2 linked regions of the Arabidopsis thaliana genome follow. The protein of the gene in region 1 interacts with the protein of each later gene in a pairwise test. Each region holds a gene or a part of one and is shown on either strand. Other genes may lie near its edges.

The links.
Region 2: the proteins of ATX1 (region 1) and RAN1 interact in a two-hybrid assay, tested with the Arabidopsis thaliana proteins (one study listed by BioGRID).

Annotation. Positions count from the first base shown.
Region 1 is NC_003070.9:24,685,439-24,689,098, reverse strand, and holds ATX1 (homolog of anti-oxidant 1), read left to right. Parts: upstream 1-1,681; 5' UTR 1,682-1,771; coding exon 1,772-1,870; exon of another isoform or gene 1,871-1,953; intron 1,954-2,245; coding exon 2,246-2,321; intron 2,322-2,508; coding exon 2,509-2,654; 3' UTR 2,655-2,985; downstream 2,986-3,660.
Region 2 is NC_003076.8:18,074,973-18,082,250, reverse strand, and holds RAN1 (copper-exporting ATPase / responsive-to-antagonist 1 / copper-transporting ATPase (RAN1)), read left to right. Parts: upstream 1-2,090; 5' UTR 2,091-2,433; coding exon 2,434-2,751; intron 2,752-2,870; coding exon 2,871-3,470; intron 3,471-3,574; coding exon 3,575-4,004; intron 4,005-4,171; coding exon 4,172-4,497; intron 4,498-4,615; coding exon 4,616-4,674; intron 4,675-4,766; coding exon 4,767-5,109; intron 5,110-5,200; coding exon 5,201-5,395; intron 5,396-5,490; coding exon 5,491-5,748; intron 5,749-5,928; coding exon 5,929-6,405; 3' UTR 6,406-6,689; downstream 6,690-7,278. UniProt on the Arabidopsis thaliana protein: Involved in copper import into the cell. Essential for ethylene signaling, which requires copper. Acts by delivering copper to create functional hormone receptors.

The sequences.
Region 1 (3,660 bases):
AAATTGATTATAAAACATTTTTTAAAATTACACATTACACTGTTTGGACTTATGCATGATTCATGAATCAAAGTATAAACTTACTAATTTTCTGATTTCTAAAAAGTAAAGTGATGGTCGAATTGGAAGATGCGATGCATAAAAGTAGAAGCGTAGCTATAAGAATGAACTTGAAACTCATTTTGTCTTTGCCCTTTTCTGTTATGTCTATATGTGTAAAAGAGAATACAAAGTTCTTGTTAAAAGTTGTTTTCTTAGAGGGGGTGTATTCAATCTAGTATTTAAGTGATTTGTGTAAAATTTACAAATCTTATGTTATTCAATTATGGATTTTAAAAACTCTAATGAAATCCAGTTCTATTGAATTAATGATTTAAAAATCTATCTTAAAATTCATTGTTATTGAAAACAATTTGTGGATTTGATTCTTAAGAATTTTGAAGGATTTGAGAGGATTGAGAAGATTTCTTTACTTAAAAATACAGAAATCCAAATCTTATGGTTTTAGATGAAATTTGAAAGGAATGAGCAATAGGAGGAAAAAATATAAGTTGTTTCATTTATGTGTTAATGTGTGATACTATGAATAAATTGAAGTTGAGTATTGAGTGCACAATGAGATGTTTTTTGTATGTTCGTTTCAAATTTTGGAAAGGAAAACCAAAATAGCTCATACACATTTAAAGAGTGATTAATTGGTATGGACGTTACTTACTAATTTTTTTTCAAAATAAAAAAAACGATTCATGACTAAAATTAAGTTTTATATAAAATATATATATATTTGAACAAAAAAAATAAAATAAAGAATTTATATATAAATTGAACAGCACTAAATATGAATAAAAACAAAAATTTAGTTTGATAATATTAACATTACATGCCATTATGAATTTTTTATCTTCTTTAAAGATGGGTACTTTGTGTCTAAAAATACTAGCATTTGGATGTAAAAAATATTAATTTAGTTAAAACATTTGGATACCTAACATATTGCCACTCCTTACCCAAAAAATAAAACATATTGCCACTTATACTCTCAAACGGATTAGTTAGTTGTTGCAATAAATTATATTTAATTAATTGTTGCATTAAAAATGAATTAAGAAAAAGAGAATGGGAAATTCTTAAAAACACCCTTAAAATGAGTTTTTGTTTCAAAATACCATTAAAGCTATTTTTCCAAAAATACCACAAAACTGAAACTAAAACTTTAAGCCTTCAAACCTTAATTATAAACCCTAAAAACTAAGACTCTAAACCGAAAATAATACACTCAAACCTAAATTTTGAAATTGTAAACCTTACAAAATTATTTTGAGTGTTTGTGGTATTTCTGGACTAAAACAATTGTAGTGGTATTTTTGAAAAAAACTAATATTGGTACTTTTTGGACAAAAACTTAGTATAGTAGTATTTTAGGACATTTCTGAGAATTCCTTATTATATATTTTGAATGTGATAAACATATTTTTTAAAAATTAGTAGTAAGTATCAATTTTAAATGTAATCATATATGTGTATAAAAAGTTGTGTCAAAGAAAAATGTGCATAAAAAGTATTTTTACTACTTTTGTAATTTTTAGATCATAACAATGTGGTAAACACATATAAAACATGTGTCTAATTTAATGTTTCTTATTTTTCTATATTTATCTTTAATTGAAAACGCAATTGTGAAAATAAAAATAAAAAAGACCAAAAACAAAATAGATCATGGGTTTCAGAAAGAGAATCTTAAAATATTAGTAGTACAAAGTACAATCATTTTATGCTTAAAGACTTGTTCCAAGCCGTATCCTATCAAAACACTGCAAGTCTCTCTCTCTTTCAAGCCTTGTCGGTGGTTGAATCGAAAGCTATGTCTCAGGTATTTTTCATCAGTGTTGATTCTGTTCTTTGAATTCTCAATTTCTCGATCTGGGGTCATTATAAAGATTGTTCTGGATCTAGGTCTTATCTTATTGAATTCCTTCTTCTTTTCTATTCCATCGATCTAAATATGATATATCAATTGATCTGTGGTTCAAAAGCATTTTCAGAAACACAGATCTTGAATCTAAAAAGGGTTTGGTGTCTTGTGTTTGGTTTTCAGATGATCTTTAGTTAGTGTTTCAAATGGTTTTGGTAGATCACTTTTGTTAAGTTGAATCTGATTCTTAGCTATATGATTGTCTTGTTCGTTTGATCTATAAGTTGCACAGAAGTTAAGCTTATGGGTTACTTATGTTTATATATCGTTTAGACCGTTGTTCTCAGAGTGGCCATGACATGTGAGGGATGTGTTGGAGCTGTGAAAAGAGTTCTTGGGAAAATGGAAGGTTAGATTATTTTTCTTATTTTGGCTATTGATGTTATGATCTGTATCAAAATGCTTTGAACCCACTTGTCTTACGGTAAACATATAGATTCATCGGAAAAGATTGTCGATATCGCGGAATCTGCAATGTTTTCTATCTTTTCTAAAGCATGGAACATCACTCTCTTCACTCGGTTTTTTGGTTTCAGGCGTGGAGTCATTTGACGTTGATATAAAGGAGCAGAAAGTGACGGTGAAAGGCAACGTGCAGCCAGACGCAGTTTTACAGACCGTGACGAAAACCGGAAAGAAAACGGCTTTTTGGGAAGCTGAAGGTGAAACTGCTAAGGCTTAAGGAGAAGCAGATCATTTTATGTGATTCTCTGTTTTAATAAAATCTATGTGAAATCTTTTTATTTTCTTCTTCTGTTGCTTGTGACTTGTGGCTGAGTGTATTGGAACTATAGATGATACAACACACTTTTGAGTGAATAAATATGCACTGGGGCATTATCTGGTCTGATAAAGCAGGAGCCGATAACAAGCTTAGAAGAATTCTTACGTATGAAAGCAGCTCAGCGTAATCCAATTAGGCTTATGGCAACCTTTTTCCTTGGGCTTGCAAAATTGTGTTTTCACTAGCTGGAGGCTTAAAAGATGAGATGACCAAAGACCAAAGTCAAAACAATTCATGTTCTTTGGAAGAGTTCCAAGAAGAAATTGATCCAATCATTATTTTAATTAGCTAAAGAATCTTCCTATTCACTACAAGTCTCCAACATAAGACAAATCCTTGGATGCAGTTGAATCTTCCTCAAAAGAACCAGCCTCTGAAACGTTTGATGTTTTAAGAGAAGTAAAATTTTTTTTTTTGTTTTAAGATAGCTATGAGCTGGGCTGATTTTTCCACCGAATAATTTCTTCAGGGTGAGTGTAGCCGTTACAAATCTATGTTGGCCCAATGGGCCAGTTTGTTTGGAGAATCAATTTTTCAAGATCCATCATATAAAAACCTTTTGCGTGGGCTATATTGATGATACAATTCGACAAAATGGTAAATCTCAAAAGACTATTAGAAAATAATTAAAAACAAAAGAAAAGGCAAACGAATCGTGAAATTGTGCATCCAATTTTAATGATTAAATGATGAATTTTATGTTTGTTATTATTGATCTCTGGGTAACTTTTTGATATTTCATATTCATATCTGCAAAAAAAATAGATATTAAATTCCAAGGATCATAGCACAATTTTTCTTTATAAAGAGACCGAATTTGAGGAAAATTCATTGACAATGATGACACATTTTCACATAAACTTAGTCTTCACTAAAACCTATGATACTGAAAATTTAATTTAAA
Region 2 (7,278 bases), on another chromosome or scaffold:
CTCCATTGGGAAGCTATATGTACTACATATATTTTACCGTCACTCTTTTGAAAGCTATATGTACTATACAAATTATGTTTTAAGGAACCATGAATTGTTTTTAAGATTACTTGAAGTCTACGTTTTAGGTCTTGACAACAAACAAAGAAAAAAAGAAAGGAAAAAGACTAATAGTCTAATACATTTAGGTCAAAGCTTATCTCTTGATCTTTCTTAAGTGGAAGGTTCATATTGTTATCTTTGCCTTTGTTTTTCTTGTTTTTTATTTGTTCGTAGAAAGCATAATGAATGATTCAGACAGAGAGAAAGTATATTTGGTGTATTAGCTTTTGATAAGTGGAGTGGAAGTCACATTCCAACGAAAGAAAAAGTAAACTAACTATTCCAATGTTTCAGAATTTGGTTCTCTGTAATAGTTCCGAGTTTATATCATACCAAAAAAAGAAGAAGAAGAGTTATAGATAAACTCATTAGATATGCGATTTTGGAAATACAATAGATATAAAATGAAGAAAACCAAAACCAAAACCATAGCTATATTTTTTTAAGAATATCCAATGGCAATAGCTAGTATCAGAATTCTTAGATTAACGCACATATTATTAGCTTCACATTGCATGATATCATTCGTTACAATTACTATTTGATTAATCTAAGAATATAATTAATATCTAATGGCAAGAGCTAAGAATTAGAATTCTTAGATTAACGCCTATATTATTTAGCTTCACATTGCTTGTTATCACATGGTACATTAGATTAATTGACGCCATGGTATACTCGTTTCCAGTACTATTAGACTAACTTCTATCATAGTTTTTATTTTGACTTTTGTCTTTGTTAGTTTTTTTTTTGTAATTGTTTTATGCAATTATTTTACCAATCAATGTTTTTTTTTACCAACTCTAGTCTACTACTATGTTTAGTAGTCTATATTAGTCAGTAAAGAAATAAACTATACATATTAATTTTTCAATGTTTTTTGTATGCATTTTTATTGGGTAAAAAAATAGTTCAATTGGTAAATTTTGTATGCATTTTTTTCAACAAACTAAAAATAGTATCATTGGATTTTCTTAAAGATATCTAAATGATACTATTTTGATACAATATTTTTTTAACATCATCTTGAATTTGAATAATACTAATCTGCTACTAAAAAATTAGTAAAATATTGGCAAATCATATATTTGTTCTAAAAGTCATTTATAATTGAAAAGATTCTTATAATTTGATTTAAAATTACTGACAAGTTACAACATGCTATCAAAAACTAGAAAATTTATCGAAATTAGATTTCAAACATATATTATTGCATTTTTTTCCTCATTTTCAACGTTTAAGTATAAATTAATTATAAACAATGGGTGCATTTATTTGACTACTACTACTATTTAAAAATATAAATAGGTCTCACGAGTCTACCACTCCTCGGGATCAGACTAGGCTACATCCATTGAACCATAGTAAAATTACCGTGGAAAAAACAGTACAGCTGTAACTTCCTATATAAACACAAAGATCCATGTGCCCATAAACATTTACTACTAGTCTACTACTATCGTATTTTTTTTCCTTCGTCTATGACTACACTAGGTTGTTTAATTTTGGAATCAAATTAATTAGTAGACGACGACTTCAAACAATAATTATTTAACATACACGTTTTGAACAACTGTATGCAATAATTAAAAAATCAACAAGACCAATCAAAATCATTAACAAATGCTGTAAAAAAAACCATTAACAAATGTCATTTAACATGTTTCTAAGAATATTTAATGAAAAAAGTATAGATCAAAGCTCTAGTGCTCTAGATTTTTCATTAAAAATCTATTAATATTTTCAGTTTTTTTTTTAAATGTTTTCAGATATTTTAAAACTCTATTAATATTTCCAGATTTTTTGTTAACTCTTGAACAAGTACTATTAATATTTCCTTTAATTACATACGTACATAGTAATAATAGATTTCTCCTATAAAATGCTTTTCTTTTTTTACTTCAGCTCCTATATAAAATACTCGGATAAATAGATCCTAATCAATAAATAAATAGATTCAGTTTTTCTTTTGATTTAGTCGTGTACAATGACGATCACAACAAAAAAGCCCATAAATATAATTTACTCAAAGTGATTAAGGGTAAAATTGTCATTATCTGATACGTGTTTTAGTTGAAAAATTGCTATCTTCCACCTTCTTCTATCTCTCTACGAAAATAATATTTTTGAGTTTTGTTTTTACTTTTTGTTTTTTTTTTTAAAATTTTTTTTTCTTCAAAAATTCCTCCATTGTTATTACATAAAGGAAAAAAGAAAGGTCTCTGAGATTTTCAAATCACCATCATCATCATCGTTGAAGAAGACGAAGAAGATACCTTCCTCTTTATCTTCTCCGATTTCTCAACCTTCCCGTCTGCTTGTCGTAAAGAAATGGCGCCGAGTAGACGGGATTTACAGCTTACTCCGGTCACCGGAGGTTCTTCTTCCCAGATCAGTGATATGGAAGAAGTTGGTCTTCTCGATTCGTATCACAACGAAGCGAACGCCGATGATATTTTGACTAAAATCGAAGAAGGAAGAGATGTTTCCGGTTTAAGGAAGATTCAGGTCGGAGTCACCGGTATGACTTGTGCTGCTTGTTCTAATTCCGTTGAAGCAGCTTTGATGAACGTTAATGGCGTCTTCAAAGCCTCTGTTGCTTTGTTACAGAATCGAGCCGATGTCGTCTTCGACCCTAATTTAGTCAAGGTTTCATCATTTTGGATTTTTGAGATCTTATATATATATATATATACAGTAGTTGTTGAAATTTATTGCTCCAGGAATTGATTTGATTTGGAGCATTTATTATTGTTGTATGTTTTTAGGAAGAGGATATTAAAGAAGCTATAGAGGATGCTGGATTTGAGGCTGAGATATTGGCTGAAGAACAGACACAAGCTACTTTGGTGGGTCAATTTACAATTGGAGGTATGACTTGTGCAGCTTGTGTTAACTCTGTTGAAGGTATTCTAAGAGATCTTCCTGGAGTGAAAAGAGCAGTGGTAGCTTTGTCTACATCATTAGGAGAAGTTGAGTATGATCCAAATGTTATTAACAAGGATGATATTGTTAATGCGATTGAAGATGCTGGGTTTGAAGGTTCGCTTGTGCAGAGTAATCAGCAGGATAAGCTTGTTTTAAGGGTGGATGGGATTTTGAATGAGCTTGATGCTCAGGTTTTAGAAGGGATACTTACTAGATTGAATGGGGTTAGACAGTTTCGTCTTGACAGGATATCTGGAGAGCTTGAGGTTGTGTTTGATCCGGAAGTTGTTAGTTCGAGATCTTTGGTTGATGGGATTGAAGAAGATGGATTTGGGAAGTTTAAGTTGCGTGTTATGAGCCCTTATGAAAGGTTGTCTTCGAAAGATACTGGAGAGGCCTCAAATATGTTTCGGCGTTTTATCTCCAGTCTTGTTCTTAGTGTGAGTAACTTAACTTATTTGAATGCACTCACCATTTATGATACAATCATTTGTCTTGAATCTGTTATCTAATGTCATTTAACAGAAATGATTTTCTTTTCCAGATTCCTCTCTTCTTCATCCAAGTAATCTGCCCCCACATTGCTCTTTTTGATGCCTTACTGGTATGGAGATGTGGACCCTTCATGATGGGTGATTGGTTGAAATGGGCCTTGGTAAGTGTTATTCAGTTTGTTATCGGCAAGCGATTCTATGTTGCAGCATGGAGAGCTCTACGAAATGGTTCAACTAACATGGATGTGCTCGTCGCTCTGGGCACGTCTGCTTCTTACTTCTACTCTGTTGGGGCTCTTTTATATGGAGCAGTCACTGGATTTTGGTCTCCAACATACTTTGATGCAAGCGCCATGCTGATAACTTTTGTCTTACTGGGAAAATATTTAGAGTCTCTTGCAAAGGGGAAAACCTCGGATGCTATGAAGAAACTAGTACAACTTACGCCAGCAACAGCGATTTTACTAACTGAAGGCAAAGGTACTTACTTGTCTTATCCTTGAATGATTTTTACATGGAAATGCTGGTTATACGGAAATGCTTCCAATGAGGATCGTTTATCAATAAGCTTGAAATCTATCAAAAACGAAAGCTCAACTATTCAACTTTGTTTAAGTTCAGTTCCAATTCTTTCTTCCTTTTTATAGGAGGAAAGCTTGTAGGGGAAAGGGAGATAGATGCATTATTGATTCAGCCTGGTGATACATTAAAAGTTCATCCCGGTGCAAAGATCCCTGCAGATGGTGTTGTGGTGTGGGGTTCAAGTTACGTTAATGAAAGTATGGTGACTGGTGAATCAGTTCCTGTATCAAAAGAGGTTGATTCACCAGTAATCGGGGGTACTATTAATATGCATGGTGCTCTTCACATGAAAGCTACAAAGGTGGGATCTGATGCAGTTCTGAGCCAGATTATTAGTTTGGTCGAGACCGCCCAAATGTCAAAAGCTCCTATTCAGAAATTTGCGGATTATGTAAGTATATTAGATAAACATGTCAATAAGCGTGTCATCCATTGGTGTTATTGCTTGTTCCTTTGTGATATAGTCATTAACAGGGACACAAACTTACCCTGGCTTGTCCAATTTTCAGGTTGCAAGTATTTTTGTTCCGGTAGTGATTACTTTGGCATTGTTCACCTTAGTAGGCTGGTAAGATCTAGTACCTTAGCTTTAATTTTTCTCTGAGAACGAAACACTTGGGATTAGTTTGTTCTTATTTCTTGATACATATGATTTTGAAGGTCAATTGGTGGAGCTGTTGGAGCTTACCCAGACGAATGGCTTCCGGAGAACGGGACTCACTTTGTTTTCTCGCTTATGTTCTCAATATCCGTTGTGGTAATTGCTTGTCCTTGTGCACTTGGCTTGGCAACACCGACTGCTGTTATGGTGGCAACAGGAGTTGGAGCAACCAATGGTGTATTGATCAAAGGAGGTGATGCATTAGAGAAAGCTCACAAAGTGAAGTATGTAATCTTTGACAAAACAGGCACCTTAACTCAAGGAAAAGCTACTGTGACAACCACAAAGGTCTTCTCAGAGATGGACCGTGGAGAATTCCTTACACTTGTTGCGTCTGCTGAGGTAAGATAAATCTTCCTTCCTAGCTGCTTGGATTGATAGTGATGTATAAACTGTTACTAAAGCTTTTCATATTGTCTCTTAATTTCCTTAGGCTAGCAGTGAACACCCATTGGCAAAAGCTATAGTTGCGTACGCTCGGCATTTCCACTTCTTTGATGAATCCACTGAAGATGGCGAAACAAATAACAAAGATTTGCAAAACTCTGGATGGTTACTTGATACCTCGGATTTCTCTGCTCTTCCCGGAAAAGGGATTCAGTGCTTAGTCAATGAGAAGATGATTCTGGTTGGGGTTTTATTCCATAATATATTATCAACTTCTTGCTTTTGGTCCTGTTCTCGCCAACTGAAAGAAAGTTTTGTTTTATCCTCTTTGATCAGGTGGGAAACCGTAAACTTATGTCAGAAAATGCCATAAACATCCCAGACCATGTCGAGAAATTTGTGGAAGATCTTGAAGAAAGCGGAAAGACGGGAGTCATTGTAGCCTATAATGGGAAATTAGTTGGTGTGATGGGAATCGCGGATCCTCTAAAGCGAGAAGCCGCTTTGGTTGTGGAAGGTCTCCTTAGAATGGGTGTTCGACCCATAATGGTTACAGGTGATAACTGGAGAACAGCAAGAGCAGTCGCCAAAGAGGTTAGAATCTTATTTCACAATCTATGTGATTAGGTGTAGTCATTCTTTTTTTTTTTGCATTCTGTTCGGTTATAGTGGTTCGATTTCGTTAAAATATTTACTTCTATAAGTGTGTAATCAATCTTGATAAACAATTGTTTTAGTAGAATATTGATGGGGTTTATGGTGGCATGAGTGCAGGTTGGTATCGAAGATGTGAGAGCAGAAGTAATGCCAGCTGGTAAAGCTGACGTTATACGTTCGCTGCAAAAGGACGGAAGCACAGTAGCCATGGTAGGAGACGGAATCAATGACTCTCCCGCTCTAGCCGCTGCAGATGTGGGAATGGCAATTGGTGCAGGAACAGATGTAGCAATAGAAGCAGCAGATTACGTTCTGATGAGAAACAACTTAGAAGACGTTATAACAGCCATCGATCTCTCTCGAAAAACCTTAACACGAATCCGATTAAATTACGTCTTCGCAATGGCGTACAATGTAGTGTCAATCCCGATAGCAGCAGGAGTGTTTTTCCCGGTTCTGCGGGTGCAATTACCGCCTTGGGCAGCCGGAGCATGTATGGCACTCTCTTCGGTTAGTGTTGTTTGCTCTTCTTTGCTTCTTAGAAGATACAAGAAGCCAAGACTTACCACTGTTTTGAAAATCACCACGGAGTAAAAAGTCCTTTGTTTTCTTACATTGGAGTGACTCGACTACTTTTGTTCTGAAAATAATTTGTATTTACTTTTCTTTTGTGCTGTTGTTGTTGTAATCATGTAACAACGATATTGGTCTTGGAGAGGTTTCTTTTTTTCTGTAAGAAATGTGTCCTCTCGGCCTTTGTTGTAAAAAAATGGTTTCGATGCTTTGTGCTCGATTATTAATGTAAAATGGTGAAAGTAGTGAATTCCTCTAATGTGACTATAAAATGATATTTTTATCTGATAATCGAATACAGATTTAACACGACATATTGAATTTAGAATTGTTCTGAATTTTGCGACATCAATTATTATTATTATGTAAGAAGTAAGCAACTATAGCTTTTGCCAATCTTTAGCGAGATTTCCGGTTTAATATACCTAAGGTTTTTGCTTCACGAGTCCATTGAAGTCCAAGATTAATTATCCATTCACCATCTTAGTGACTGTTTATTGGGAGTTGATTTTCGTATCAGACCGCACTGAACAGCAGTTGTAGATCATTTTTGATCTTTCGTTTCTTGTTCCTCACATTCCATTTGTTTCTTCTTTTTCATCTTGTGTAGGAGTGGTTAGCTTACGTGAAGTGGGATACCTTCTGTCTTAATTTTCAAGTCAAAGATCTTACCAACTTTTTCTTCCTTTGTACTTGACGACTCATACATATTCTTCTTCGTTCTTTCAATTTGAGACTTCTTCTCCTTCTTTGGTCTTCTTGTCAATTGGATGATTGAGTAGAGAATCAACTTCCAACAGTAATCAAATGCCTCAAAGTTTACAAAGTTGCATTGTGCTTCCGATGATTGTTGGACTGTCAAGATAGTGTCTCCTTCGACCATGTTCATAGTAG